Oryctolagus cuniculus: one gene and its partners. The protein of the gene in region 1 binds, or shares a complex with, the protein of each later gene. Links are inferred from orthologs where the notes say so. Each region holds a gene or a part of one and is shown on either strand. Other genes may lie near its edges.

Region 1 (10,364 bases):
CTCACCCCACTTCACCTCTGCCTCACCCCTGCCTCACCCATCTCACCCTGACTCACCCCACGTTGTCACCTCTGCCTCACCCCTGCCTTACCCCCGCCTCACCCCACGTTGTCACTCCTGCTTCACCCCTGCCTTACCCCCACATCACCCCACGCTGTCACCCCTGCCTCACCCCTGCCTTACCCCTGCCTCACCCCACGGTGTCACTCCTGCTTCACCCCTGCCTTACCCCCGCATCACCCCACGTTGTCACCCCTGCCTCACCCCTGCCTTACCCCCGCCTCACCCCACGCTGTCACCCCTGCCTCACCCCCGCCTCACACTGTGCTCCAACACCAACAGCCACAGTCCTGTCCTGGGCTCTGCAGCCCAAGCCCCTGCGTGCCTCAAGGAGTGGCCGCTGACCCCACAGGACGAGCACCGTGCATCCCTGTGGGAGCAGCCGCTGTGCCCCAGGTGCCCTGCGACGGGGATTCATGAACACTGGGCACCAGAGACGGGGCCTGGCCTTCATCTTCCATGAAACGTGTTGTGTTCTCTCTCTGGAGATGTTTCTCTGCGTCTTCCATTCCTGATACATTGATCACATAGCGCTAATCCCATTAAAAAGCGGTTTTCTGTCCGTTTTATGGACTCCGCACAGGAAAGCCTTGCTCAGTGTAAAAATAAGGCAACCCGAGTGCATAACCAAGAAATTCCTGGCATCCAAAAATGATGCCGGAGCCCAAAGTCACCGGGTTATCCAGGCCACGGCCGCAGGGCACTCCTGACAGACTCACCGTGGCCGCGGGACTTGCTGGGATAGGAAAGCGGCTTCAGTAATTACAGCGCTGCTGAGACCCACGAAGGCGTGGCGGCGCCGGCGGCGCGGTGGCTGGGGATCCTGCCTGCTCCCACCCAGCGGCTGCTCCTCGTAGCAGAGGCCTCTCACCGGGTAGACCAGGAGTCTGGGCTAGGGAGAGGACAGCTTCTGCCCGTGAAGACTTGGAAGGCGTGTTCAAGCTTGCCTGTTCCCACAATGCCTGTAGGCTTGCCTAGCAGCACCAGGCTGAGCAGCACAGCTCACCTGAACCCGCAACGGGGAGCAGGACATCTGGGGGTCACTTAGCACGTCAGCGCTGGCTTTCTAATTTCATAGGGAAAGATGGCTTTGGGGCTTAACCTGGAGACTTCAAACTCAGACCCTGTTACAAAGCCAGGGCCCAGAGGGGCTCTCCCATCGCTGTGCGTCAGCGGTGAAACTCCCCAGCCAAACGAACGTACCCGGCAGGTTCTGCAGCGCAGGTTCCCCCAGCCGAGACCTGTGTCAGGAGAAGCAGCCCCTCTGGGGTGTGCAGTCCTGTGCTAAAGGAAGGGGACCCACGGTTTGACCTTCAGCTCTGTGACCGCACAGCAAATGCACCCCGTTTCCTTGGCCAAAGCCTGGAGGGCGTGGGTGTTTCTCATTCCCGGCCCTGAGAGGAACAGAGAGCTGAGCCAGATCACAGCGTCTTCCAACAGGGAGAGCAGCAAATGGCTGGAGCAGAAAGTTCCAGAACACTCCGGCAGCCTCAGAGGCAGCTGGGAGAGGAAGGTAGCTCTGGGCACTGGGGCCCAGGTCCCCTCTGTCGTGCGGGGTTTGCAGTCTGGCTGCACCTCTGGGTTCCGAGTGTCAGATGCAGACGTTCCCTGTAGCACGCCCAGAGTTGGCCCCACGGGGAAACGGCAGACGCAAACGAAAACAGTTTTGCAGGACTGCGCTCTTCTCTTGATTCTCACTAATGTGCTTTGGCCAAGTAGAAATCTAAAGGACAGCATTTTTACAAAACCGGAAGCAAGTCACAAGAACAGGAGCTCGGTTGAAACAATTTAAGCATAATTAGGCTCCAAGGAGCTCATAATTAATTTTTATTTCTTTATTTGCATTTTATTTGGAAGGCAGAGAGACGACAGAAACAGAGCTCTCCATTCACTCTTCCAAATAGCTACAAGGGTCGGGGTGGGGGCAGCCTGAGGCCGGGAGGTCTGGAATTCCTTCTGCGTCTCCCACGTGGGCAGCATGTTCCCAGAACTTCCAGTCAGGCTAAGATCATTCTTTATATTGCTTCTCCTCCTGTGGTGGGAGAAGGGAGGAGACAGAGCGAGAGAGTGAACAAGAGAGCACACAGCGTAGAAAACAGAGCACAGAACAAAATGCTGAAAGTCAATCCAGAAACCCATACAGAGTAGCAATATCAATAAGTAGAAGTGTGTGAAATTCACCCGTGTGAAAACTAGAGATTGCTGGCTGGATTCTCAAGTAATTTGGTCCTGTGTTCCTTTGAAGCGGTGCCCTGCATCACAGGGCATGGAAGTGACAGGCACTGTCCGTGCATCTACAGTGCCACGACAGCCTCACAGGCCAGACCAGAACAAAACTTGTCACGTCACTGAGCACAGCACACTGAGACAAAGAACAAGCAGCCAACCACTCAGACCCACCAGTCTGTCTAAGAGCCTGTGTGTATGCCACGAATGCATGAAGCAGCAGCAGGTGTGTGACCCCTGAGACCGCCTGGAGATGGCTGAGGGGACGGGAGGTGGAGAAAAGTGACCTCAGTTCTACTGGTCATCGTTTACTCCTCTAAGCTAGGTGGTGGGCCTGCGGGTATTTGATATGATTCCAACATACCTGTTCCATGCCAGAAACGGTTCATATAAATCTTTCCCTGTGCCACACGACGTGACTTTCCGTGCAGCAGAGCCGTCCAACACCTGGCACCAGGCAAGGCAGGGACCCAAAACAGCCCTGACAGGCAGCCCCACTTCCGGAGTTTTTTCAGGTGTCCTTCGGGGCGGGGCAGGTGAGGGCACTGCAATGAGCAGGCCTATCCAGTTTGTCCCCTGGAAAACGTGCGTCAGCAGTGCCAGACCCTTTGCAGGTCCGGCGTGGGACCACAGCGTTGGGGGAGCTGCAGCAGCCTTCCCAGTGCCAGGGAGAACGGCGCGGCAGAGCTGCAGACAGCTCGGGCACTGCACAGACCCCCGCGGGCCCCAGGGCTCCCCGGATCTAAGCCCTAAATCTGCCTCCCGCAGTGCGGCGCCCCCTCCCCTTTGCGCTGTCCCTGCTCTCGGGCCGCGCGTGGTGCCCGCTGTGGCGGCGGAGTCATCATCAGGAGAATGCACTGTGGTGTGTTTGAAAGATGCACACACACGACGCAAACATCACAGAAAGTCAATTTCCGCTCTTCAGCTGGGAACCTCCGGGATGACAAACCCACGTTCGCCAGCGCAACTGTGCCTGGCTCCATCCCTGCCGTGTGTCCAGCTTGCAGCAGGCAGGGACAGGACGTGCGCACGGTTCGGTCAGCGCCCAGAGGAGGAACGCAAGGCCTGGAGTTGGAACGCTAAACCTTCCTCCCAATGCTTTCTTCTCCCTGCTGTTGGCGGGGGAGGTTGGGGGCGCTTGGGGTTTGTATCGGCGGGCAGGAAGTGCCAGCTGCCCGCTGCCCGGGAGACACTGAGCGATGAGGCAGCCTGCGCGCCCCAGCGCCTCCCCGTCCAGCGCGCCCTGGAGCGCGCTCCGCGGCCCTCGCCAGGAGCCGGGGCCGCATCCTGCAGCCGCTACCATCCTCAGACCCCAGCAGACCCGCACCCAGTGCAGGCGCGCGCGCGCGGGTTGTAGCAAGGAGGTGGGCGGCGACCCTTCCTGTTAGGATTCGCCGTCTCCGCTCGCACGCCGACTTCCGGGGGTACGCAGGGGGCCCCCAGGGGGCGCAGATTAAAGCCGGGTTAAGTCTTCGCCGCTCCCACCCGGCCCTGCCCACCACTAGGGAGCTCAGAAAGCGCTCTCGCCCTGTGCGCTACTTGGAATCCCAGCAAGACCTGCGAGGGAGTCGGAGGCGCACGCAGCTGGGGAGGTGGCGCCGAGCGCACGGGAAGCGCCGCGAACCCTCTCCGCGAGCCCCACCCTTGGTGCGCTGCGCTCCCGGCCCTGCCCCGGGTGCGCTTTGGGGAGGAGCGGCTCTGGGCAACAGGTGCAGCCGGAGCCGGTCGGCAGCACGGGTCTGGAGCCGCTAAGGCGCCGAGAGGACTTTCACCTGCAGGGCTGCAGCCGGCGGGTCCCGGGGTCGGCGGCCGCGCGGCGGTCGTAGACGCGGGGCCAGGAAGACGCCTGTGCTCCCCGCCGGACAAGAGCCAGCTCCGCGCCCCCGCGCCGGCTGTCCAACGCCCGGCACGAAGACTGCGCTGCCAGGCGCGGCTGCCCCGCCGCGGCGCCCGCTCTCCTGCGCATCGGCGGAGGCTCCGGTGGAAACTCGCGCGCTGGCACTCGGGGCGGGACCCCCGGCGCCGGCTGCCCGTGGCAGACAGCCTGCCCCGCCACCCCGCGTCCCGGGCGCCCCCGCGGGCCATGGAGCTGGCTGCAGGGAACCTCAGCGAGGGTAACGCGAGCTGGCCCGAGCCGCCCGCCGCCGAGCCCCGGCCGCTGCTGGGCGTCGGCGTGGAGAACTTGGTCACGCTGGTGGTGTTCGGCCTCATCTTCGCGCTGGGCGTGCTGGGCAACAGCCTGGTGATCACGGTGCTGGCGCGCAGCGCGCCGGGCAAGGCGCGCAGCACCACCAACCTGTTCATCCTCAACCTGAGTATCGCCGACCTGGCCTACCTGCTCTTCTGCATCCCCTTCCAGGCCACCGTGTACGCGCTGCCCACCTGGGTGCTGGGCGCCTTCATCTGCAAGTTCATCCACTTCTTCTTCACCGTCTCCATGCTGGTCAGCATCTTCACGCTGGCCGCGATGTCGGTGGACCGCTACGTGGCCATCGTGCACTCCCGGCGCTCCTCTTCCCTGAGGGTGTCCCGCAACGCGCTGCTGGGCGTGGGCCTCATCTGGGCGCTGTCCATCGCCATGGCCTCGCCCGTGGCGTACCACCAGCGCCTCTTCCACCGCGGCGCCGCCAACCTGACCTTCTGCTGGGAGCACTGGCCCGACCCGCGCCACAAGAAGGCGTACGTGGTGTGCACCTTCGTCTTCGGCTACCTGCTGCCGCTGCTGCTCATCTGCTTCTGCTACGCCAAGGTGGGGCGCGCGGGACCGAGGGCGCGGGGCCGGGGGTGCCCCGGGAGTCGCGTTGTGTCCGCAGCCCCCGCCCGCGGGCCCGCGCGGCCTGGCGGTGTCCGGCGGACGCCGCTCTGCCTTTGCCTCTGCGGGCGCCCTAGCGTTGGAGGCGGCGCAAGGGTTCGCGGAGTTTGCGGTGCTGGGGAAGTTCGCGGGTCGCCAGTTGACTCCGGGAGGGACGTTCCCCGTTCTCGAGCCCTAGGCCCCCGCGGCCCTGGGAGTCCGAGCGCAGCCCGCGCGGCCGGCGAGAGAGCCGCTCTGGTGGCGCAACTGGGATGCGGGAGCAGCCGGTGCCACTGAGCGCGGCGCTGCTGGGCGCGGGGTCCATCGGAGCGCGTCGGGCCCGCCGCCCCCTCCCTGTGCTGGTTGCGCTGGGTAGAGAGGGGGCGCCCGCCGGGAGCTCCCTCCAGGACCGGCTCTGGGAAGCCGCTGCTCCTGGGAGAACGGAGCTTTGCGGTAGTCAGCCCCGGTGGGAAGACGGCATTTCCTGTGGTCCCCGGGGCCGCGTAGAACCCCTGCCTTCCGCGTTTCCACAGCTGAATCCCCGACCCTGGGGGGAGGCTCCCGGGAACACAGCGCCCTCGGCCGCGCCTTAGCCCGCGCCCCAGCTGCTGGAAGGCAGTTCTCCTTTCCCTCCGCTTACTCAGAGGACCTGAGGACTTCTGCATTGACCTGTGACACGACCGGTCCATGTCTGCGTCAAGAGGCATGTGTGTTGAGTGAGGATGGTGTTTGTGGGGTGCACGCCAGTGTGCACACACAGCCCCCCTATACCCTCAGCGCTAGACAGACAGCTCCCCAAATTCTGAAATTTCTGCCCACGCTCCGCCCTGTCGGTCTGGCCCCCTGTTTCTGGGAAGGCTGAGGCGACAGGACCCTGAACAGCACAGGGGGCGGAAGGAAGACGCTGGCTTAGAATCGGTTCCCAGGGCATTCTCCCCCCCCCCCCCCCCAAAAAAAAAAAAACCCTCTCGCCATAAGCCTGCTGGTGTTGTTCCTCCTCTCTGTGCCATCCAGGTGGGCTACGTCTCCTGCGAGTGGCAGTGTTTTTTGATGTCACCCGAAGGTTCTGTGAACAGATGTGCTGGGGAGGTAGGGGATTCAGAAATGGCCCCTAGCCTGGCCGTTGGGAGAAGGCTGACTCATTCATGAGTCTGGGAATGCAACCCAGAGGCTGGTCCCCCAGCGCAGCTGTCCCTGTGTGCCGTCTCACTCGCCTCGCACACCCCGTGGGTGCCGGCTGCTGTCCCCTCCGCAGTGACGAGAGGAGTGGAGGCCCCGGGGGCCAAGCTGGAGATGGTTCCGGAAGGCTTTTCAGCAGGGGTGCCCAGGGGCATGGAGGAGGGGCAGACAGTGGGGGCCTTGTGGGCATGGAGCTTGAGACCAGGGGGACACTTAAAATGCTGCCTTCCGGGTTCCTAGCTTCCTGCCTTAGACCCAAAGCGAGCGCTTCCCTCACTCCCCCAGAGGCCTGGGGGAACTTGCTCAAATCCTGCTGGTGGAAGTGACAGGGTCAATCTTCAGGGCTAAACTGGCCATCTTGCTGTTGTTTGAGAGCTTGTAAAACTCGGAGGGCAGAGTTTAAAAAACGTTTTTAAATACTCAGTCATTTGCAGATTTTCTCTGGAAATTGCTTGCTTCTAAGTGGAAAAGCCTTCTGAATTTGAAGTAGTATTTGCAAGCCCCTTCCAGGGCAGTGTGAACAGGTGGAGGTGTGTGGCCTGCAGTGCTCCCTTGGGTCAGCCGGTGGTGCTTAGCACCTGCGGATCTCGTTCTTGAGGGGCAGGTTCGGGCCTGGCTGAAAGGGGTTGCTTCCAGAGGTGCTCTGTGCTCCCCAGACCCTGCTGGTTTCCAGTGGAACAGCTCCGGCACCTGTCAGTCATGGGAGCGTCCAGAACACGTGACTAGAGGACAAATGCCGGCGACCAGCGCAGTACCCCCTGGGGCGCCCACTGCTGCTGTGGGGCTGGCCTTGGGAGCATCCTGCTCCCAGTAACTGCTGCCCACCCCACCAAGATGCTCCACACCCCCAGGGTGTGCCCGGCATGGCCCTGGGGGTGGGTTTGACCAGGCCCCTCCCTGTGTGTGGAGTGAGTGAGGTCTGTGGCCACACCTTCAGCCCTGCCTTCTTCTTCTTCTTTTTAAAGATTTATTATCTGAAGGTCAGAGTTACACACAGAGAGAAGGAGAGGCAGGAGAGAGAGAGAGAGAGAGAGAGAGAGAGAGAGAGAGAGAGAGAGAGAAGCCAGGAGCCAGGAGCCTCCTCCAGGTCTCCCACATGGGTGCAGGGGCCTAAGAACTTAGGCCATCTTCTGCTCTCCCAGGCCACAGCAGAGAGCTGGACTGGAAGTGGAGCAGCTGGGACTCGAACCAGTGCCCATATGGGATGCTGGCACTGCAGGCACTGGCTTTACCCGCCGCGCTACAGCACCGGCCCCGGCACTGCCTTTTAGAGAGCACCATCATCACCCCTGGGGGGACCCCCCCCAATTGGGATGCACCACGCACAGCGGTGTGTGCAGAGTGCGGGCACACATTGAGGGGAACAGCCATGGAGAATGCGCTGGAGTATTTCCTCCACTGACCGTTTGCCACGTCTGGTGTTCTCGGATGCTCTGGGGTTACTCAGCTGTGACCCAGGTTAGTTTGTTGAAAGAATAAACTCTTTTCTTCCCGTTTGAAATGCTTTCCTATTTGCTCCTGCAAAATCTCTCTTGTGCCACGTGCCTTCCTTTCAGTTTTTGGTACCCTGATTATTCCTGCTGGAACGGTGGCCTCGTCCCCTGCCAGTGCACTGAGGGTTATCCACGCGCCCCCGTGGGGAGTGAAGGGCTGTGCTGCCATAGCTGGTGCATGGCCGTGTCAGGAAGTGAGGGAGAGGGTCTGAAATCAGAACCCGTGCCACAGGGACGGCCACTTACCCGCTGCAGGGCCTGGAAGTCTGGCGAGCACACGCTGTGGTTTCTCCACTGGAGCACGACGGCTGCGTCCTGCTGGACGGGGCAGGACCTTCAGGGAGTGCAGGCCGCAGGGCCACAGGGAGACCGAGGAGTGCCAGGAACGTGTGTCCCGCTTCTCGAGAGACTCTCAGTAGTGTGGTATCCACGCTCTAGGGCATCAGATGCTATTTTTTTTCCTAAATTTCCTCTCAGTTGGGAGGTAAAAGTCAGCTCAGGCACGAGTTCCCGATTGGTGCTGTTGGATATCAGGTTTGTGTTGGGAAGTCGTACATACAAGCAACAGTTCTCACGCCGTTGCTCCTGAAACACACTGCAGGGACAGAGAGCTGCTTTCTGTACCAGAGAAGCCTCAAAGTACTCACGGACAGGGACATAGTTGTAGAACCTTGCAGAACAGTGGATTAATCCTCGGTGATGTCGAATGCCTGAAATGTGGGTTGTGTCACGATACGGCGTGCTGGGTAGGCTTGGAGCAAGGGAGGAAAGCAGGCCGGGGCCGGCAGTGTGCCTGCAGGGGGTTGGCCATGGGGACAGGCATGCAGGGAGGGCAGAGGAGGGGCTACCGAATGAGGAGTGGCCTGAGTGTGGGCTCTTCCTTGTTCACCTCTGCTTTCCCCGGGGGTGGTGAACTGGATGGAAGGTGTCTAGTGTTTCAGTGTGTGTGGGATCCAGCATTGTGCCTGACATCTCGTGGGGACCTGTTGAGAGTTACTCGTGGATTCCGGGAGTCACCACGGCAGAGGCAGACAGGTGTGTGCCTGCCTGGGCCCCGGTGGGGGTGGCTCTCAAGGAACACATCCCAGGGCCGCAGGCGCCAGGACCCCCCACGCTGCAAAGTGCATCTGGGTGTGCGTCCGACTTCCTGGGACACCCCCGAGTGTGGGAAGAGCAGGTGCCCCTGGCAGCTCACTCGCTGAGCTTCATCAGCTGCGGGCCATTTCTGTACGTTTTCATGCTAATGATTTTGTAGGTGACCACGGCGGAGCGCCAGTGGTCATCCGTGAAAAACGAGAGTGAGCGCGGGGGCGTGAGGCAAACCGGGTTCACCCATCTGTGTTTTCCAGGTCCTCAGTCATCTGCATAAAAAGTTGAAGAACATGTCCAAGAAGTCAGAAGTGTCCAAGAAAAAGGTAGGGCTCATAGGCCGTGTTACGTATGGGCCTCTGTTTCTGGCTCCTGTTTCTACTGTCGGCTGTCCTGCCCCCACCCCAAGCCTGCCCCCTCTGGGTTCCCTGGTGCAGCTCTTTGCCGCTGAGGTGAGGGATGGGGTGGAGAATCAGCCCTGGGCGGGGGGCACCGCAGCGGTGCTGAGCTGCAGGTCCGCGCCTCCCCAGGCCGCGTGTGTTGGGCCGACTGGGGCAGAGTGCGGAGTTTCTGACTTGCTTGGTTATAGGAGTGTGGTGATGTCGCTCTCTGCTGCTGTCTCTGACGTGAGTCTGGAGCCATCGTTGTCTTCCGTCCCCATGGCCTGCAGAGCAGAGAGCCCCCATCCCTGCTCTCCCACCTGAGCTGGCGCTGTGCCTGCGGAGGGGCAGGGCCACCCAGAGGGTGCTGGGGGTGCTGCCTGCTCTAAATTGTCCCCCTCGCCAGGGCCCGTGCCTCCCGGGGACGGCCTAGTCACAGTTTCACCTCCCTGGGGTGGCCCCGGTTAGCTCTGACTGAGCCATGTCTGTTTAATTTCTGCTGCAAGGAAGTGGAGGAGGTTATTAGACGGTGATCAGCTAATGGTGAGTGTGGAGGAGATGACACCCGACGCTCGCCCACTGATGTTAGTCATAACATCCTACCATGCGTGGTTTCCTTCCTTCTCAAGTTTATTTTGATCAGTGGCATGCATCATTTTGATGCATTATAATTTAGGTAATCATATTTACCCAAATAAAGGGCAGCTCTCCTGATTTTCCTTGTTTATCAATGACAATGTGGCTAAAAATCGCACCTGCTCCTAGAGTGGGAAACCGGTGTTTAAAAAGGGTAAAATTTAAGACTCTTTCTGGCAGCAAGCATTAGCCTGTATTGGAGACATAGCACGTGTCTTTAGGATAAGCATGGAGGGCACAGCAGAAGCGAGGAGACTGACAGCTTCTTGCCATTGTCCCTCCTTGTAGCGCCCGGCTATCACGTGGGCTTACTTTGAAGCTCCTTGGCCCCTCTCCCTAGCAGCTGACACAACCTGTCGAGTTCTGTGGGTGGAGTGAGTCCTAAAAGCTGGCATGTTCCTGTTCCCACTGATGTGCTATTATGCTACAACTTTTCCATTTTTCTGGTGCATTAGATTTTCCTCTGAGACACACTTCTCATCTCCAAGAAAGTGATTCATTAAAAGCGAT
Region 2 (10,258 bases), on another chromosome or scaffold:
GGGAGAGGGCCCAGGTTCTGCAAGTTCCGTCTAAATGCATTTCACAAATCCGAGTGAGGACGACCACTGGCCTCTCAGACCCGCTGACAGGGCTCCGAGCTGGCCCTGTGCATGGGGGACTGGAGCAGGGGGCTCTCGGGGCACAGCCAGCCGGACATCACGTCAAGGGCATGAGCACCTGTGGGGTGACTCCGTGCCTCTGTCCCCAGCAGCCATCACCTGGTGGCCCATGGCAGTTGCTCACTTCCAGCCCTCATGTCCACATTCCAGGCAGCAGGAAGGAAGGAAAATGGACGGAACAGGGGGCCTCCCAGCGTGCCCTCCCCGCACTGGGCGTGTGCTGGGCCCCGTGGTTCCCCCAGCCAAGCCTGAGTCCATCCTCCTCCCTTCGGGATAGCCGGGGATAGCTGTGTGCGTGTGCGTGTGTGTGCACCTGCGTGTGTGTGCGTGCGTGCGTGCCTGTGTGCATGTGTGTGTGTGTGTCTCCACTGGGTGCCCATCCTACCAGGCGCTAATTTCATGGCCGGGGGTGTGAGGAGGAGCTCCCGCGGGGCGAGGCACCCTGGCTGTAGGAGCTCCGGAGCGGAGCTGGGCAGCGCGTGGGGCCGGGTGGGCCGAGGCTCTCTGCCGGCCGTCCATTACGGTAATGCTGGGCCATTTTGCTGGCCACACACTGGGCTGTCTCGGCGATCACGGTTGACAGCCACTCCCCTCGGGTCGCTGCCGGGCGAGGAGCCCATTAGTGGCCTGGCTGTGGGTTCCAGCACAGCTGGAGCCAGGAAGCAGGTGCGGGCGCCCCGGCTGGGCTGTCCTGGTTTGTCTGTCGGGGGTCATCGCAGGTCCTAAGCGCCCGCCGGCTCCGAGATCTGGCGTCCGGTTGCCCAGGCTCGGGGAGCGGTGCTGGCTGGGGGTGGGTCGCCCCGAGCAGCCGGCGTGTTCCCTGGAGGATGGGTCTCTGCTCAGCGGACACAGCGCCTCAGGTGGCTCCATCGCGCAGTTACTCACGGAGACACGCGGGGGACATGGCCAGACTGGGTCCTGTTTAAACTTGTATTTGTGTATTTATTTTGCGAGGCAGTGAGACAGACAGGGGGAGAGAGGGAGAGAGACAGAGAGACAGAGACAGAGAGAGACAGAGACGGGGGGCTCCCACTGCTGGTTTGCCCCCAAATGCTTGCAACAGCCAGGGCTGGGGTAGGCAGCAGCCAGGAGCCGGGAGCCAGGAGGGGGCAGGGACCCAAGTACTTGCGGCAGGGGGCTGGGTTTGGGCTCCTGATTTGGGGTGCGGGCGTCCCAGCTGGGGTCTCAGTGGCCAGCCCACGCCCACCCAGGCCCTGTGCTCTGTCTGGCTCCCCTGTCAGTCATGGCCCGGCCCGCCTCTGTGCACCCATGGAAGGTGGGGCCCTGTTGCCCAGAAATGCTTGGGGGCCGGCACCGCTCACCTCCCAGAGTGGAGGCCAAGCCGCAGCGTTCGGCCCTGGCCAGCTTGTGGCCGGATTTTCCTGGGAGGCTGCGGGAGAGCAGCTGGGCTCCCTGCACCTGCTGGCCCGGCGCCAGAGGCCCTGGACCCCATGGGAGCCTTGTGACCCCGCCCACTGCCCAGGGCCCCGCCTTCCAGCCCCTCTGGGGATTCATGGGTTCATGGTCAGCCCGGCTTGGGGGAGGGGCACATGGTGGGGCCGACGCTGGCCAGGGCGCACTGTGGCATTACCAAGGTCGTGGCATTTCAAAGGTAGCCCCGGTGGACAAGGCCGCGGACACCGCCCCTGCCCCCTGCCCCGCTGGTGATGTCCCTCTGGCCTCCACGGTTCAAGCCTGCCAGGGCCACAGCCTCTCCCTCCCTCTCGCTCCCACCGCAGGCTGCACGTGGGACACCCTCACCCTCACCCCAGGATGGCCAAGTCTGGTCCAAGACCCCTCCCTGGGCCCAGTCACCCCCAGCACCCCACCCACAAGCCAGAGCAGGCGTCGGCCCCAGCGCCTGTTCTCCCTGGCCGCCAGCTGGCCGTGGCCAGGTCCCCGAGTGTCCCAGGGGTCCTTCCCCGTCCCATTGGGAGCCCATGGCTCTCCCTTGCCCCCCCTTGGTGGGCTGCGCAAAGGCTCTTGGGAATGGAATGTGGGAGACGTGGTGATGGCCTCAGCGGCCATCAGTGGCCCTGTGCTGTCCACCCCGGGTGCCCAGTGACATCACCGATTGGAGCTCAGCTCAGGGGGTGCAGCGGCCGAGACCTCCTGCTGGGAGCTCTGGATGAATGACGGGCAATGTGGGTGGTGCCCTGGGCTGTGCTGTCCCCGGGACTGGGGGTGGGAGGGCGGGGGGGGGTTGCCCCTGTGTGGGGGTCTGCACCTGCCAGCCCGCCCCTGCCCCCGCCAGCCTCTGGGAGTCCCAGCTGGACTGCAGCAGTGAGGACCCACCGCTGTGGCCAAGAGACCCCCGCTGCCGCCCCTTCAGCTGGGCTCGGGGCTCCGGACAGGGCCGGTGGAGCGCAGGCCCCCCCACTGGGCCTAGCCGGGACTGCGGTGGTCCCTAACCGCGGCTGCCCTCTTGTGGTCGTGTCCCTCCTCTGCACGCCTTCCCCTCAGGCCGGCTGGTGGGGCTGGGGGCTCTGGCTAGGAGCCAAGGCGGGGTGAGGGCGGCGATGACCTGGGCCGGGAGTGGGGTGGGGCTCTCCCGGGGGTTGGGGTCTCTCCCATAGGGATGTGGGTCTCTCCCGCGGGGGTGGAGGGTCTCTCCCGCGAGGGTGGGGGTCTCTCGCGGGATAGGGGGGTCTCTTCTACGGGGGTGGGGGTCTCTCCCATAGGGATGTGGGTCTCTCCCGCGGAGGTGGGGGTTTCTCCTGCGGGAAAGGTGATCTCTCCCGCGGGATGGGCGGGTCCCTCGGGTCCCTCCCGCGGGGGTGGAGGGGTCTCTCCCACGAGGGTGCGGATCTCTCCCAGGATGGGGGTCTCTTCCGCGGGATAGGGGGAGTCTCCTATGGGGGTGGGGGTCTCTCCCGCGGGGGTGGAGGGTCTCTCCCGCGGGAGTGGGGGTTCTCTCTCCCGGGGGTGGGGGTCTGTCGCGGGAAGGGGGTCTCTTCCGCGGGATAGGGGGAGTCTCTCCTATGGGGGTGGGGGTCTCTCCCGCGGGATGGGGGGTCTCTCGCACGGGGGTGGAAGGGGTCTCTCCCGCGGGAAGACCCTATCGCGGACGTGGGGGGCCTGCCTTTGCCCCCCCACAATACAGGCCCCCGGCGCTGCCCGCAGGGATGGAGTTCCGGTCACTCCGCCCCCGGGCTGGTGGGGGCGCTGGGCGGTGCTGGGCCCCGTGACGCGGCCGCGCGGCCCCGGGAGGCGCAGATAAATAGCGGCGGCGGCAGCCCCGCAGGACACGTCGAGGGAGCCCGGCCGCCCGCTGCCCGCTGCCCTCTCGGCGACCCGCCGCGCCATGCGCTGAGCGCCCTGCCGGACCCGCCTGGACGCCAGGACCCAGCCCGGACCCGCTCGGACCCGGCCAGACCCGCCCGCCCCGCGACGTCCCGGGACAGTCCCGCAAGGTGCGCGCCCCGCCCCGGCCCCGGCCGTCCCCCGCGGCCCCCGAGCCCTGCCCGACGCCCCTGCCCTCCCTCCGCAGATGGCCCGGGCCGGCGCCCCGCTGCTCGTCTGCCTCCTGCTCGCCGCCGCCCTGCCGGCCCCGCGGGCGCTCGCGCTGCCGGTGAGTCGGGGATGGGCGCGCGGGGCGTGGTGGGCGGTGTGAGCCGCGGTCCCGCAGCCTTGGACAGCGCGGGGCGCCCTGGAGCCGCGGCCGGGGCCGTGGACCCCCACGCGCGTCCGCGGCGGTCCCTGTGCTGCGCCCCCAGGCCTCTGACCCCCTCCTCTCTCTTTCCAGGCAAAGGAGAAGAGAGGCTGGACCCTGAACAGCGCCGGCTACCTGCTCGGCCCACGTGAGCGACCAAGGCCCCGCCCACCCAGCCCTCATCACTTGCTGTCCCAGCTCTGGGCAGGCCCCGGGGGGTGGGGTGGGAGGCAGTTTCAGTCCCTCCCAGCCTGGGCGGCCTCTCACCTTTGCCTGACCCTCCCTCCCAGCAGGTGGGCGACACCCAGGAGGGAGGCGGGACCTGCAGACCCCCTCTGCCTGGCCTCTGGGACCTCAATCCCTTGTGCACCTGACTCTCGTCCCCCACCCTGCAGCTGGGCAGCCCTTGAGGGCGTCTCGCCGGGCTCCCCGGTTCCACCGAGGCTGCCTCCGTCCCACCCTGCCCCCCGAAACCTCCCCTGGGGTCCCCAGAGGCCTCCACAGTGCTCTGCACGTGTGACCCCAGCACCTCTTCCTTCCAGAGGCTTCTTCCGTGCCTGCTCTGCCCTGACCCTGGGCATCCCCCCCGCCAGGCTCTGCAGCCCCGTCCTGGGCCCTGGCTTCCGCAGCCGCTGGTGGCTCCCACGGCACAGGCGCGCCCTCTGGGCTCTGCCCTCGTCCCCGGCTCCAAGCTGCACGTGGGAATTGACATGTGACCCACTGCAGGTGGCCGGGCCCACTTGTCTGGCTCCAGACTACACGGGGATGGTTCTCTTCCTGTTCAGACCTGTCCCCACCCCCTCCTACGCGGGCCAGTCCCACGGGCGCCGCGAGGACCCCTCTTGCTCTGAGGATGGAGGCACTGTCGGATGGCTAATGCCTAAGCAGGGAGGGAGGCCTCAACAGGACGCTGAGGGTGGGGCGTCCCCCTGGTGTGGCTGACCTAAGAGGAGGCCGGGTGGGCACCCCCCGACCCCACGCCTCCTGCGTCCCTAGCCTCCTCTGCCGGGAGAGGTTGGCCAGGCTGCAGCCGTGGGCACCTGCTGTGCTGGGAGTCGCCCCTCCGTTATGTCCTCACGCAGAGGGGACGTCACAGAGCCCGGGGCCCCCTCTTCTGGCTCTCCTGCATTGGGCTCCTAAGTGGGGCCGGGGGGTGGCCGACAGTGGGGAGACTGCACGAGGGTGCAGGGAGCACCTCTCCGGGCGCTGCAGGCTGCCGGCCCCTCCCCTGGCCCCTGTGCAGTCAGATCCCAGTGTTCTGCGGGCAGGCAGCGGGAGACCTGGCTCCTCGCCCTCTCCCACTTGCTGCCCCTCCACGGCCCCCTCTCTCCAGCCCCACCCATCTGCAGTCTGGGCACGTGCACGCCGATGCTGCAAACAGCCCGTGTGCCTGTGGCCCTGGCACGTGCAGCCGGGCCGGTCACCCTCCCTCCTGGGGCCTGGCCCCGGCTTTATTTTGCAGTGCAGATGTGCATGCGTCTTGGGGCTTGGGGGGGGGGGAGCTGGCAGTGGTCAGACACCTGCCTCTGATCTGCCGACAGACGCCATCGACAACCACAGGTCCTTCCATGACAAGCAAGGCCTCGCTGGCAAGCGGGAGCTCCAGCCCGAGGACCAGCTAAGGCCAGGTGAGGAGGCCCCTGCCCGGGCACCCGCACCCCGCCTCCCCTCCAGCCACAGCCTGAGCCTGACCTGGCCCGCGCCTTGCCCGCAGCCCTCTGGCTCCGCTCCAGCTGTCCACAGGGCCGCAGCACGGACAGCAGGGAGGCCCCGGGCGGAGTGGGGCCTGGAACCCCCTCCCCAGGCTGCATGAGTGAGCCTGGGCCCCTGGGCTCAGGTCCGGGCAGCGTCATGAGACCGCGGGCTTACGGGCGCTCTTGCCTGCTCTGCAGGGAGCTGGGACGGGGCCCCGCCCGAGAGCGTCGCGCGCACCATCATCGAGTTTCTGACTTTCTTGAGGCTCAAAGGTGCGTGAAATGGCGGCCGGAAACGCCTGCGGAACCCCACCGGGGAGCGGCTCACCCCCCGCCCAAGTCCTGGCCAGCACTGCCACCAGGGAGGAGCAGGGGCCTCGGGCCGGTGTCCTGGGCCATCGCTTGTAGGGCAGCTTCTTGGGGGCCTCCCTTGCCTGCTGTGTAAGCGTGGCAGATGCAGGGCCCCTGGGGCAGCCGCCCGCACGCCTCGCGGGAAGGCTGGGTCCCGCCTGGCCTGGATGGCGGTCACAGAGCTGCTGGGGGGGCAGGGCCGAGGGAAGGGGGCCGCAGCCCTGGGAGGCGGGCCGCGGTGGGGGCCTCTGTCTCCGGCAGTGTGGACGGCACCGTTTGCTGTCCAGCTTGGAAGAGTTGAGGCGGTTCTTGGGCTTCCTCCGTGGGGCTGAGTGCCCAGGCCACGTGGCTGAAGGGCATCAGGCGGGGCTGGACACCACGCCTGCCCGGCCCCCGGGCTGTCTGGGCAGGGAGCCTAGGGGGGACAGGACAGCATGGTGGTGTTGACCTGCCCCTGCCCGAGCCCCGAGGGGTGCAGGGGCTCAGCCCGTCTGTTTTGTTGCCCCCTTTGCAACACGAGCACTCCTCCAGGTGACAAGGTCATTGTTTGTAACACTCCCTCGACACGACTTGAAAGGCGGACGGCTTCAGACCTGCGCTGACCATGGGGTGAAGCCCACAGAGGCGGGCAGTCCAGACTTTGCACCTGACCCTGGAAGCCCCCGGGAGGGCCCTGCGCAGCCCTCCCCAGGCCGGCTGCTGAGGCGGGGTTGGCTCTTTTGTTGCAGAGGCGGGGGCCCTGGACAGCCTGGCCGACCTCCCCGTGGCTGGGTCGCCGGAGGACGCCGGGCAGCCCTGACCAGCCGCTGTTCCGGGCGGCCATCTGTGCGGAGACCGGGGCGGGGGCCGTGCCTGCTCTCCCCGCCTCACTCTGCTGTCGTAATTTAAGATTTTGGGACAATTATTTTGAGTGGCAAAATAAAAAATAGCAACTGGCCACAGTGGTCCTGCTCTGTCCGGTCGCCGCTGCGCCGGGGGTGGGGGTGGGGGATTGGGTTTCGGTTCGGAGCCACGCCCCCACCGCAGAGGGTCTGCGACACCGCCTGCGCTCGCCAGGGGGCGCTGCGCTAGCTCCTGGGTCCACACCAGCAGGAAGGTGGAGACGGACCCAGGAGTGGGGGGACTGGCGGGGGCGGTCCTCCCGTGGCCAGAAGGCTGGCAAGGGGCAGATCTGATGGCTGTGGGGAGTGGCAGACCCCGGTCCTCTGAGCAGAAATTTTAAGATCATTCCAGAAGATTAGAGAGAGAACAGGCGAGGGGGAGGAGCCGGGCAGGCTTCGGTCCAGTTAACGGTGCTGCAGCTTCCCCACCGGTCAGACTGGGAGGTGGGGCAGGGCCTTCCCTGGGGGAGGTCTTCCCTGGGGGGAGCCTTCCCTGGGCGGGGTGGGCTCTGCAGAGGCGTGGCTCCCAGCTGACTGCAGGGCCACACTTGGCCCCCCGCTGCCCTCTCTTCCCCTGGCCACGCCGCGGGAGCCCCAGGCTGGAGTACCTGTGTCCGCACTCCCAGCTCGGGGTGGTCTACCCCGGGGCCCACCCTCGCACCTGGCTCCCCCACCACACTCACTTTGTCTCTTTAATTCTCCCACTTGACCAGGCAGCGGCGACCCGAGGCCTGGGTCAGAATAGCTGCCGGGCCCCGGCGCAGGCATCTAAGTTCCCGGGCCACTGCTCCAGGCCAGGGACACACAGTGGCCACTTGGCCTCCATTTAGCCTTGCCCCCAGCTCCCATCCTGCAGCCAGGGCCACCCGTCCCTGTCCCCAGCCCCTGGGTCACGGCCACCTGCAGGTGCTGCCGGGCTCGGCTGGCACAGTGCCCTCGGCAGTGCCGTCAGGGGCAGGCGGTCACAGACACGCTGCTCCCTGCTCCGCGTGGCTTGTCCCAGCGAGGCCGACACGCCACGAGAACATTCCTTCACCACTCCGGGGGTGCTGTGCAGGTGAGCTCCCGTCCAAGCTCACTGTCACACTGAAGACACCTGCTTGCGTTCTACGACACAGCCAGGCTCAGCCTCAGAACCAGCCGTCCCGCTGGCTCCTGCAGACTGGAGGTGATATTTCAGCGAGGACGACGGGGAAGTTAATCGGGTAATAGGACTTTTCCACAACTCAGATACAAACACGTAAGAGACTGGACAGAGCTCTAACCCCTGCAGCGCCCGACACCGCTGACCCAAGCCCAGTCTCCCGCAGTGGGCGACTCTCTCCAGGCTGTGGGGCAGCCCAGCTGGGGCATTCATTTCTAAATAATTTAAAAAACAAACAAAAACCAAAAAGCGCCCAAGGCAGCCCCGGGGAGGCAGCTCCCCAAGGGTGGAGGGTGAAGGCGGGTCCTCCTCCTCCCCTCCCTTGGGGCCCTCCCCAGGGCCTGCGCCGGCTGCCTCACCCGTGGGGACAGTGCTCCCAGGACCACGGCCCCTCCTTCTCTGGCCCAGACAAGCAGTGCTTATGTCGCCCACTTGGTCAAAAAGACAGGTCCTGGCCCACACAGCCGCCATCGAGCTCTGACAAACCTCCGGCCCACGGGGCAGCATTAGGGCAGGTTTTGGGCTCCCAGCTGTGGCCACAGTCCCGGATCTTCCACGTCCCGAGACAACACTGACGGGCACACACCTGCCTCTGCGGTGCTCTACTCCATCTTCAGCCCCTTGGACTTGAACTCAATGTGCAGGATCTGTGATAAGCAGCGTCCGAATTCCTCCAAGACCAGCTGCTCCGCCAGGCACTGGGAGCGTTGCTCCTTCTCGGCCTCTTCCCCCTGAGCCAGCAGGCAGGCGCACGTGGCCTCCACCACCTCCCAGGAGATGCAGGACGCCGGCCGCCTGTGGGGAGCAGGGTGGTCAGGGCCAGCTCGGGGCGCGAGGTTCCCCAGCCCTCTGTGCGCCACTGAGCAGGGGCGTGAGCGTCTGGGCCCTGGCCAAGGCCCACGCAGCCACCTCGTCCTTCTGCCAAGGCAACCGCAGGCAGGACTGGGAACTCAGTAGGTCTGGGGCCGGCGCTGTGGTGCAGGAGGTCATCGCCTGGCACCCCAGATGGGCACCGGTCTGAGTCCCGGCTGCTCTACTTCCCATCCAGCTCCCTGCTGTGGTCCGGGAAAGCAGAGGAAGATGCCCAAGTGCTGGCGGCCCTGCACCCGTGTGGGGGACCCAGGTGAAGCCCCCAGCTTTGGGTCGGCTCAGCTCCTGCCGTTGTGGCCATTTGGGGAGTGAACCAGAGGACGGAAGATTCTCACTCTCTGCCTTTGTTTTTCTGCCTTTCTCTGTAACTCTGCCTTTCAAATTTTTTAAAAAAGATTTTATTTATTCATTTGAGAAGCAGAGTTACAGAGAGAGAGAGGGAGGGACGGAGAGAAAGGTCTTCCACCCACTGGTTCCCTCCCCAAGTGGATGCAACAGCCAGAGCAGGGCCAATCCAAAGCCAGCAGCCAGGAGCTTCTTCTGGGTGCAAACAGGTGCAGGTGTCCCAGCCCGTGGGGCATCCTCTGCTGCTTTCCCAGGCCATTAGCAGGGAGCTGGATAAGAAGAGGGGCAGTGGGGACACGAACTGGCACCTGTCTGGGATGCCGGTGCCAAAGGCAGAGGCTTAGCCTACTACGCCACGGTACCAGCCACAATAAATAAATTAAAAAAAAAAAAAAAGAAAGAAATTCAGTAAATCTGTAGCAGGCTGATTTCTAAGTTGTAAGGCCTGCGGGTGGCGCTCTAACTACCCACACAGCCCCTGGAGCCGTCAGCGCTGTCTTCTGGTGCTGGAAGCGCACCGATCCTGTGGGCTGCTGTCGGGACGACACAGGCAGGCGGGCGTCTGCCTCCCGACATCCCTCAGGGCGGACTCTACATTTTCTCAGATCCGCTGACAAACCCAGAGGCTCCCGGGCTGCAGCGACCGACTCCGGGCCAGGCAGGAACCTCCTACGACACTGGCCTGCGCTCCAGGGGCAGTGCCGCGTGCTGGCTCCGCCCCCTTCCCACAGGGGCTGTGCGGACTCCCGGCCTCAGCCTGAGGCTGGCCCCTCAGTGCCCTTGGGGGCCCTCCGGTTCTCAAGGTCAAGGTGCACTGTGTTGTGTGGGAGCAGCCGCTTCCACCCGAGCTCCAGGGGCGACTGCGGCTTAACTAGAGGGCGCCCAAGGAGCGCTCACACGGAGAACTTTCGGGAACACGTCTCTCTCTCTCTCTCTCTCTCTCTCTCTCTCACACACACACACACACACACGCACACACACACACGCACACACGACTGAAAGCGTGGGCTGTGACGACAGCGCTCAGCCTCGGCTTCAGTCCCTGCAAAGCTGACGCCGTGACTTCTGCTGGAGACGCAAGTCCCACGCTTGGCAGCCCCCACGTCCACGGCACGCAGCACCGTGGGGGCGGGGACAGCTCCACGCTCCGCCTCTCGGAACGTGCCGCCGGCTCCCAAAGATCTCTGAAGACACCATGCTG
Region 3 (9,183 bases), on another chromosome or scaffold:
GGGCCACCACTGCCTGGGCCAGCGCAGGCGCCTGGCAAGGGTGCAGCCCTTCCTAGGACATGGCCCTGAGTGGGGTGGGCAGTGGCTGCACCTGAGCCATTTACCCAGGAGTGGCATGGCAGGGACCATGGGCAGGACAGGCCCCCAGGAGTCCCTTTCTCTTTCTTCCTGGTCACCTTCTACAAGAGGTGCCGGGACCCAGCAGGGGCACCTCCCCAAACCTCACCAGTGGCTTCCCACTGCCTCCCCCCAAGTCTGTCATTGAACCACTCTGCATGCAGAGGAAAATGTGGGGACGTGGCCGGCATGTGGGGCCCGGGCTGCTGTGCAGGCTACACCTGCCCGCTCTGCCACCTGCCTGCATGCACTGCGCACACTGCGCCTCTGTGTGCAACAACCTGGCCCTGGCCCAGCAGCCCTCCCCCATCAGAGCTGCTGTGGGACGGAACTCCGGGAGGCCACAGCCCTGAGCCTCTGGGCATTGGGGAGCTCTAGGGGCCCTGGGTGGAGGTCCCTTTGCATGCTGAGAAGAGGGCCAGCACCCTGCAGTGGAGGGGTCGTGCCCCGCCCTGCCTCCAGGTGAAGGTAAGGTTGGTTCAGTCAGAAACCCGTCGTTGTCCCAAGCAAGACTAGAGCAGGGGCTCAGGTCCCAGGGCCACACACATCCCTGAACCCAACCAGAAGACACCCGATTCCAGCACAAGCCTTCTCCACTGCTGGGAAGAGTCCCGTGAAGAAGGTCCCTCACAGAGCCAGGCCCTGTCCTCCCTGGCATGCCATGCCGCCCATCCCACCGTGCAGGGGGGAAGTGGGGCCGGGGCCTGTGCCCTCTGCTCCCACGGGGTAGCCTGGAGTTGAGAGGTGAGTGCTGGGCGCAGTGGAGACCTAGAAAGGGGGACCTGGGCATGGAGGAGGCGCCCTCTGCAGGGCACAGCAGGTGCAGGAGGGCACGGCAGGCGGTGCCAGGCTGCAGCCCCCCACCCCCTACTGCAGGCAGTGCCAGGCTGCAGCCCCCCACCCCCTTGGCAGCCCCTGCTTCCCTTTCCCACCTCAGCCAAGGCCTTCCAATCCCCAGTCCTGAAAGCTGTGGCAGCGAGGCCTGATCTGGGACGTGGCCCGAGCAGTGAGGCCCCCAGAGGCTCCCAGCAGGTGCCCCCAGGGCCCGTCCTGCTGACTCGGAACGTCGGAGCTCTCCAGGGCCTGCCGAGGGTCCCGGTTGATTCAGACTGCATGATGGGTGGCACAGGGTCACCTTTGCCTGTGGCCAGGGGTGCAGGCCTGTGGGGGAGGAGGCTCGGTGGCCGCAGCAGGGCTGGGGCAGGGCGCAGGGCCATCCAGCTAGAGTCCCTGTGGGCACCTCGCTCTTCTTCCTTGGCTCTCTCCAGATAGGGTCTGCCTCCATCACTGTCCAGCCGCTGACAGCTGGGCCAAGGCTCAGTGACCAGGGGTGTCGCACCCCTCTCCTCACCCTCCTGCAGAGGAAAGGGACGTGCAGGCGCCTTCCAGCGGCCAAGCGCCACTGTCCCTGGGCCCACGGGGCTGGGCGGGGTGGGGGAGGGGCGGCCCCACCCCTGCAGTCACTTCGCATCATTTAATTCCTGGGCGAAGTCCTGGCAGTGCAGAGGTCCAGGGGGCATCTTCCGGGCAGTGCACCGTCCTGCGCTCCAGCCGTAGCCCGTGCCCTGTGGTCTTTCCATGAAAGCTGTGCAGAGCCACAAGGCTTCGGGTTGTAGCTGACGGGCCACCCACAGAGCTGCCAGGGGCTGTGGGGAGCCCAGATGGCATCATACACACCAATAGCCCCAACATTCCACATCCCGGCCACTCACCCAAGAACTGGGGCTGCTTAGAGATGCCGCCGACCTCAGCAAGTGCCCTGTGGTTGGAAGAACGCACTGAGGAAGGAGCCCGGGGCCCATGCGTGCTCACCCCCTGCCAGGCAGCTTCCCATGAGGTTTTATTGTCTTGGTTCCTTAGAATCAGCAGGATTGGACTGGACCACAGGGAGGCGCCTCAGTTAACTCACCCAGAAAGCAAGAGGCAGGGTCTGTGGCCGCTGGCTTCCAAGGCTCCCGGGAAGATGGCTCGCGGAAGCCCAGGGAATGAGAAGGCAAACCAGGCAAATGCTAGGACTTCAGCAGTTTTCCTTTTCCTTTCTTTCTTTGTCTTTTTAAGATTTATTTATTTGAAAGAGTTAAAGACAGGAAGAGAGAGAGAGAAATCGCCCATCAGGTAGTTCACTCCCCAGATGGCCATACTGGCCAGGGCTGGGCTAGGCTGAAGCCAGGAGCCAGGAGCTTCGTCTGGGTCTTCCATGTGGGTGGCAGGGGCCCAGGCGCCAGCAGGGAGCCAGATGGGAACTGGAGCAACCAGAATGTGTACCAGTGCCCACAGGGGAGGCCAGCGTCACAGGCAGCAGCCCAACCTGCTGCGCCACAACGCCGGCCCCTTCCGCTGAGAACGCGGCCACACGGTGGACAGCGAATGCCCAGCAAGCCGCACTGTCCCCGACAGGACAGGCCACCGCCTACCCCTCTCCCGTCGGTCCTCAGACCCCCCGCCCTCAGCTCTCACCAGGGCCCGACCCGTTCTTCTGTGTCTTGTTTCAGGCCCCAATACCTATGAAGATGCAGCTGCCTACATCCAAGCACAATTTGAAAGCAAAAACCGCTCGCCCAACAAAGAGATCTACTGTCACATGACTTGTGCCACGGACACGAATAATATCCAGGTGGTATTCGACGCCGTCACCGACATCATCATTGCCAACAACCTCCGGGGCTGCGGCTTGTACTGACCTCTTGTCCTGTATAGCAACCTATTTGGTAATGATCCCAGCACTCACAGAAACGCTTGCGTGCGCACTCACACACACTCACACGCACACACACCCCCCACTGACAAATGCAAGTTGGTAAATAAACGTTCCAGAGGCGACACAAAACCTTATATATGTATATATAGACGAGTATATATTCAAAAGCTTTTCAGTTTGTTCTAGAAAGAGCCGCGGACAGAACTGACCACCTTCCCCCAGCCCCTGGAGGTCTTCCAGGGCCACACTCACGCTCACACTCACACACGCGCGTCGTGACGGGAGCCTGCAGCGGGCGGCTCGGGGTGGGGGGCTCCCCGCTAACACCCACTTCCGTGACCGAGCGGGGTGGGGGGAAGGGGCTCCGCGGGCCACCGCCCCCTCCCCCAAACCGCAGGCTGCGTGCTGTCCGTTCTGTCCGGCTCTTGTGCGAACTCCAAAACCCTCTCCGCCCGCCCGCTGTCCCCAGCCCCAGCGCAGCGCGAGGACACGTCTCTCTGGGGGAGCGGCGCTCCGCCTCGTCCTCGTCCGCGCGCTCTGCGGGTGCGGGGCCGAGGGGAGGGCCAGGCCTGCAGTGCGCGGCGCCGGGGTCGGGGGTCGGGGGTCGGGGGTCGCCGGGCCCCGGATGCTCGCGGCGCCGCCCCGGCCCGGCCCGGCCCGGCCTGGCCGCCGTTTTGGTTGGTGGTCTTCACGGACAGCACGGTCAGACGGGCCCCCTTGTCTCTCTCTCCACAGACTGCTTCACGGACTCTTTGCTGTTGACGTTGACCTCCTGGTAGCATGACCTTTTGGCCTTTGTAAGACACAGCCTTTCTGTACCAAGCCCCTGTCTAACCTCCGACCCCAGAGTGACTGACGGCTGTGTATTTCTGTAGAATGCTGTAGAATCCGGTTTTAGTTGAGTCTTTACATTTAGAATTTGAAAGGAAAAAAACATTTCTCATGTGCTTTGTAGCGTTAAAAAAAAAAAAAGACGAAAAGGAAAACTCACCATTTCATCCAATTTCTTTGTCGTTTCACATCAGCATCCACATCTGCCCCCACGGCCCCCCCACCCCCGGCCCTCCTCGAGGCAGGGTCCCCGCGCCCCCGCCGAGGGGCGCCCCCGCGCACGTCCGGCCGCAGGCCCCGCTGCCCCACACCGCTCCAGGTCTGATAGAAAAAGCACAGCTCTCACTGGCCAGTAGCTGCCAAAAAGCATCCCCGTGGCGTGGCGCACGGAGAGGACAGCCCTGTGGGAAACGCCCTTCCCCGCAGAGCCCCTCGGGGGCTTCGTTTTCGTTTCTGTCCCGCACGGGCGCCCATCGGCCTCGGCGCGGCTGTCCCTCGGCGACCGCCCCCTGCCCCAGCCCCAGCCCCTGCCCCTGCCCCTGCCCTCCCCTCGGCTCGGTGAGCCGCGGCCGCTTTCTCACGTGGGCATGTCTGTGCTGCAGATAACAAAGAACAAAAAGATCATCTTTAAAGACCACCAGATGGAAAGAAAACCCCAAAAATAAATTTACACACAAAAACAAAACCAAGATGGAATGTAGCGTCTACACGGAAGCACCACCTCCCCGAGCAGCCCCTGTCAGACCCACCCCTCTCACAGTTCCACTTGTAAGACTCCATCTTTGCTGAAGACCAGTCACAGCCATTTCAAATAAAGAGGAGGCACGAAGACAAAACACACACAAAAATTAAAAATACAGGAAAAAAAAACTTGAAAAAAAAGGAAAAAAGAAAAAAAAAAATAACAACCAGCCCACGGGTCTTTCTAAGCCTTTCTATTCCCGCCCGGTGAGGTTTCTGTGATTATCTGCCACACTGCCAGTCTACTTCTCTGACAATGGAAACCCCTGTGTCGCTCAATAAAGAGAATGTTTGTCTGTACCCTGTGTCCCCTCTGCCTTCACATGGTGGGCTGAGGGGGGAGGGCTGCCCCGGGGGGGGGGGGGAGAGGGGCAGGCAGGGGCTCCCAGCTCCGCCTCACCTTGGGTAGAGCAGGGCTCAAGATGAGAAAGGCAGAATGGGGGGGGGGGGGGGCGTGGCAGGCATCCCCAATCTCCTGCCAATACAGGATCCGATCCCGCTGCATCTGGGCCCAGGGGTGCCACCGTGGGAAACGGCGATCCCGAGGATGGGAGCACATTGCCTGGGCCCCGTGCACACAGGGGCCACACCTGCGAGCCGGCCAGGAAGCGATCCTTTGGCTTTGCTTCCTGCTGCACCGAGCAGGCCCAGTGTGAGGACAGACGAGGACAGATGGCACACGGAGTCTGAGCCGTCTCTGGGCAGCCAGTCTCACCCTCTCGCTCCCACGTAGCTGCACTCTGCAGCCCACTGTTCCATCTTGAGGGACAGTCTCCCAGGGGGCTGCCCACCGGAATCCTCTCCACACCCCGCACATGCCAGTGATCTGCCCAGAAAGCAACGCTGAAGAACCAGCCCTGGGCGAGGACACGAGTCTGCAGCCAGTCCTGGCCATCACTGCTGAGGCGAGTTCCGGTGGCCTTTTCATCGGGGAGTGGTGGTGGGGGCTGACCTAGGATACCAGTGCCTCTCCGGCCCCCAGGTCGACTTCCTAACAGGGGTCGTGGGGGACAAACCAAGGCCCACCGGGAGGATGAGGGGCACCATGACATTGGCCATCCGTGGCCTGTCCAAATTCCCTAAAGAGGAGCCAAACTGGGCTCTCGCCCAACTCTCAAATTAGTTTTGTCAATAAAACCGAGAGTTCTTGCCTTCTTATCTTTCTTAAAAGGAGGTCAGCATTTTTAACGGATGAAGGGAAAAGACCAACTAAACTAGATCACGGAGAGGGGACAGAGCGCCCGGGACTCCACTCCACAGTGCAGCCGGGGCCAGAACCACTCACTTCTAGGCTGAGAGCAGGAGCCGAGTATCCCAGAGACTGCAGTGACGCAGCCTTGTAGGGGCGGCGTTCTTGGCCAGCTCCGCAAGCTTCCGACTCCCTTCTGCATGCACACCCCGCGTCCTTTCCCGGGCAGATGGTCTGCGGGCTGCAGTGAGAGCAGTCTACAGCTCCAAGAGCCTGCCTGAACACACCAAGTAAGCCATCCACGTGGGCCATCATTCTCCCTGACCCATAAAAGCCTCCACATTTGTTAAAAACACAAAACTCAAGCAAGTGGCTGAGAACCCAAGAGGTCAGAGGGAGTAACAGCCGCTCCCACGGCCAGGCAGGGCAAGGGCACAGAAAGCCCACGTGCCACGGCCCAGCGGTACAGCCTGTGTTCCATGGCAACATCGGGCACAAAAGCAAGCTGCCCACCCTTGCAGCAGCGGAGATGGCCAAGGGGGACTGGGCCGGGAAGCCCACCCACTCTCTGCCCTCAGCACCTATCCCAGGGGCCTCCAAATGACAAAAGCCAGGGGCCGGTGGTAGCAGCTAGAATCTTTAACTGTCTAGATGCACAATTTAGGGGTGAACTTGGGGCTTGTCGGTCACTGTAGGCTAAGTAAAGCATTCTCCCTGCTCTGGTCACTGCCACGCTGTGATAGTCCAGTGATCCCAGGCCCTCTATCAATTTCCTCTTTCCACTTCATAAACCTGAGAAACTGGAGTTAGTGTCATCTCTAATGGGTATGCAACCTGCAAAGTAAAACAGACTCGGAGAAAGCAAAGTAGCCGCCTCCTCCATACTTACCTTGAAAATAAATAAATAAATGTGGGGCCGGCGCTGTGGTGTGGTGGGCAAAGCCTACTCCTGCAGTGCCGGCATCCCACATGGGCACTGGTTCGAGTCCCAGCTGCTCCACTTCTGATTCAGCTCTCTGCTATGGCCTGGGAAAGCAGTGGAAGATGGCCCAAATGTTTCAGCCCCCACACTCGTGTGGGAGACCCGGAGGAAGCTCCTGGCTCCAGCCTTTTTTTTTTTTTTTTTTTTGACAGGCAGAGTGGACAGTGAGAGAGACAGACAGAGAGAAAGGTCTTCCTTTGCTGTTGGTTCACCCTCCAATGGCCACCGCGGCCGGCGCACCGCGCTGATCCAAAGGCAGGAGCCAGGTGCTTCTCCTGGTCTCCCATGGGGTGCAGGGCCCAAGCACTTGGGCCATCCTCCACTGCACTCCCTGGCCACAGCAGAGAGCTGGCCTGGAAGAGGGGCAACCGGGACAGAATCCGGCACCCCGACCGGGACTAGAACCTGGTGTGCCGGTGCCACAAGGCAGAGGATTAGCCTAGTGCTGGCTCCAGCTTTGACCTAGCCCAGCCCGTGGCCATTTGGGGAGTAAACCAGCAGATGGAAGACCTGTCTCTCCCTGTAACTCTGCCTCTCAAATAAATAAATTTTTTTTAAATGAAATACTAGTATGAGGAGAAGAAAAATCCTGTCTGCCTTCTCCAACATACTGGAGAAAGCAAAACCCCCCCAGCCAAAATGGTCCCCACAAAATCAGAGTTAATGTCCACCCCCCTGAAAGCAGCTGCCTCAACTCCCAGCGATACACAACACACTAAAAGTTTGCTTTTTATTATTATTATTGTTTTACAATGAAAACAAATAGCTATGCTCTCAGCAAAACAAAACAAATTTTAAAAATCACAGAGGTTTACTAACAGCATTTCAAAGTAAGGCTTTTCAAAGATTTATTGAAATAAATTACTTCTGCCTAAATATTTGTCTACCACCCTTTTTTCAATTACTTGTCAACATTCTAAAAACTTCCAGTTATGTAAAATACATTTAACTTTGCCAATAATTTTAGATAATACTGGGATTCTTCCCAAAAGGACTACCATAAAACTATGTTTCAAACATTAAAAAAAATTAATCCAATGGGACATAAAACTGAACTATGTAACCTATGATTGCGTGTTTCAAATCCCAAAAGTTAACTGCGTGAGGAATTTGAAGACTCAGGACCTGGGTCTGCTCCAAGGCATGTGGATTCAACCTGTTAGCTTCCTAGGTCTGGCGGACAGCCACGGCCGGGGATACACACAAGGTATCTATCTCTCAGTTCTTCCCTAAAGCCCTGCCCAGTGCACTCCCCACTCCCCCACCTGGCTCGGCCCACCTCTTTTCCGAAGACCAAACCCACAGGCTTTGGCACTGCCCGATGGGCCTGACCGAGGGGTTAAAACCATAAACCAAAGCTGGCTGCCACCCCCTTCCCCGTGTCCACAGGGCCAGGGAACGCGGAGGGGACGGGGGACACGGGTACACTCAGGACCTGCAGGAGCACCAGAGTTAACGGAAATAAAGCCAGCCGTGACCTGGGGCTCACACAGTCCCGATGTGGCGGGAGGGAAGGGCGTCGCCTTCTCACACTCTGCAGCCCCAAGCTTGCCCCTCCTCTGCTCCGGGCAGCAGACCACGGCCTTTCCCAAGATGCCCTGCTGGCCCCGAGGGTCCGGGAGCCCCCTAGTCTGGCCTCTGACACCTCCTCTGCCTCCTCAGGTGTGACAGCAGGTGGCGGCGGTGGCGGCGGTGCGGAGCCAGGCTCGGCGGTGCCTCTGCTCGCTGCTGGCGATGCGCCCTCCCAGAGCACACAGCCTCCTGCCAGATGTGGCGCTAAGGACGCAGTATCTGCCGCTGGCGGGCGCCTGCCCACTTCCTCCTGATCGCTCCCCACCCCAACAAGTCAACGCCTACAGTGAAAATGTGCAGTGCTTTTAAGGGGAAGAGAATATCACATAGAAAGTATTACAGAGAAGAATTAAATCTGTCAGCCGTCCACACACTAGAAGACCACATGCTCTGTACAGCGGCAACGAGTCGGGCCCGCGGCGTCACACGGCAGCAGCACTGGGCAGCCTCTTCCGGCTGGGCGCAGGGCGCGGGGCTCAGGCGGCGGCGGCGGCCGAGGAGGGGCGGCGGCGCTAGGACGTCTGCTGCTTCTGCAGTCTGCGCTCGGCGGCGGCCGCCAGCATCCGCCGCCGCAGCGCCACGGGGTCGGGGGACGGGCCCGCGGGCGGGAGCAAGCTCTCGGCGGCCGCGTCCTCTTCGGAGCTTTTGTTCAAGAAACGCCTGCGGAGGGATGAGACGCTCTGGAGCACGCGCAGCTCCCCGTCTCCCGGGCAACTTCATGAAAAAGACGCGGACCCTGACCCTGAGTGGAGCCTGAGTTCCCTGCACTGGGGCGGGCGGGACAAGTGACCGCTCCGCGCCCCTCTCCCCTCTCCCTGCCCACCCCACCCAAGTCCCCACGCTCAGGCCACAAAACCCAGCCACTGACATAAACCTCGACACCCACGGCTCCAGCCGCAGCCACAGGGCAGGTGTGGCCCCAGATGTGCGCTCTGTGCTCACCTCTATGTTAGCTACAAGGCAGAGTGGTCAAGAGGGAGGACCCCGGAGCCAGCCGTCAGGCCCAGGCCAGCGTGAACCTCTCTAAGCCTCAGCTTCTTCAGCTGTAAGTCT

Evidence for each region.
Region 2: the proteins of GALR1 (region 1) and GAL are in contact, whole or in part, in a cryo-EM structure (PDB 7WQ3), measured with the Homo sapiens proteins. The link is inferred for Oryctolagus cuniculus from reciprocal best matches to the Homo sapiens genes GALR1 and GAL. Residues at the interface, in NP_001471.2 of Homo sapiens: Glu32, Gln92, Thr94, Val95, Tyr96, Leu98, Pro99, Thr100, His112, Gln174, Phe177, Arg180, Gln184, Phe186, Cys187, Trp188, Glu189, Gln190, Ile266, His267, Ala270, Phe275, Leu277, Ser281, Phe282, Arg285; in NP_057057.2 of Homo sapiens: Gly33, Trp34, Leu36, Asn37, Ser38, Gly40, Tyr41, Leu42, Leu43, Gly44, Pro45, Val48.
Region 3: the proteins of GALR1 (region 1) and GNAO1 are in contact, whole or in part, in a cryo-EM structure (PDB 7XJJ), measured with the Homo sapiens proteins. The link is inferred for Oryctolagus cuniculus from reciprocal best matches to the Homo sapiens genes GALR1 and GNAO1. Residues at the interface, in NP_001471.2 of Homo sapiens: Thr70, Arg133, Ala136, Ile137, Ser140, Arg141, His226, Leu227, Leu231, Asn233, Ser235, Lys236, Lys237, Ser238, Ala240, Ser241, Lys244, Thr245, Thr248, Leu306, Ser307, Glu308, Asn309; in NP_066268.1 of Homo sapiens: Ser264, Asn316, Glu318, Tyr320, Asp337, Asp341, Ile343, Ile344, Ala345, Asn347, Leu348, Arg349, Gly350, Cys351, Gly352, Leu353, Tyr354.

The regions. Positions count from the first base shown.
Region 1 is NC_091441.1:2,133,423-2,143,786, reverse strand, and holds the start of GALR1 (galanin receptor type 1), read left to right. Parts: upstream 1-3,738; 5' UTR 3,739-4,369; coding exon 4,370-5,035; intron 5,036-9,098; coding exon 9,099-9,164; intron 9,165-10,364. UniProt on the Homo sapiens protein: Receptor for the hormone galanin. The activity of this receptor is mediated by G proteins that inhibit adenylate cyclase activity.
Region 2 is NC_091432.1:3,952,261-3,962,518, reverse strand, and holds GAL (galanin peptides), read left to right. Parts: upstream 1-3,355; 5' UTR 3,356-3,533; intron 3,534-3,610; coding exon 3,611-3,691; intron 3,692-3,865; coding exon 3,866-3,920; intron 3,921-5,313; coding exon 5,314-5,400; intron 5,401-5,664; coding exon 5,665-5,739; intron 5,740-6,348; coding exon of another isoform or gene 6,349-6,419; exon of another isoform or gene 6,420-6,531; intron 6,532-6,545; coding exon 6,546-6,616; 3' UTR 6,617-6,754; downstream 6,755-10,258. Other genes in the region: tesmin, read right to left, coding at 8,445-8,637. UniProt on the Homo sapiens protein: Endocrine hormone of the central and peripheral nervous systems that binds and activates the G protein-coupled receptors GALR1, GALR2, and GALR3.
Region 3 is NC_091449.1:40,130,136-40,139,318, forward strand, and holds the end of GNAO1 (guanine nucleotide-binding protein G(o) subunit alpha), read left to right. Parts: intron 1-2,609; coding exon 2,610-2,797; 3' UTR 2,798-2,825; intron 2,826-3,550; 3' UTR 3,551-4,687; downstream 4,688-9,183. Other genes in the region: E3 ubiquitin-protein ligase AMFR, read right to left, coding at 8,643-8,790. UniProt on the Homo sapiens protein: Guanine nucleotide-binding proteins (G proteins) function as transducers downstream of G protein-coupled receptors (GPCRs) in numerous signaling cascades.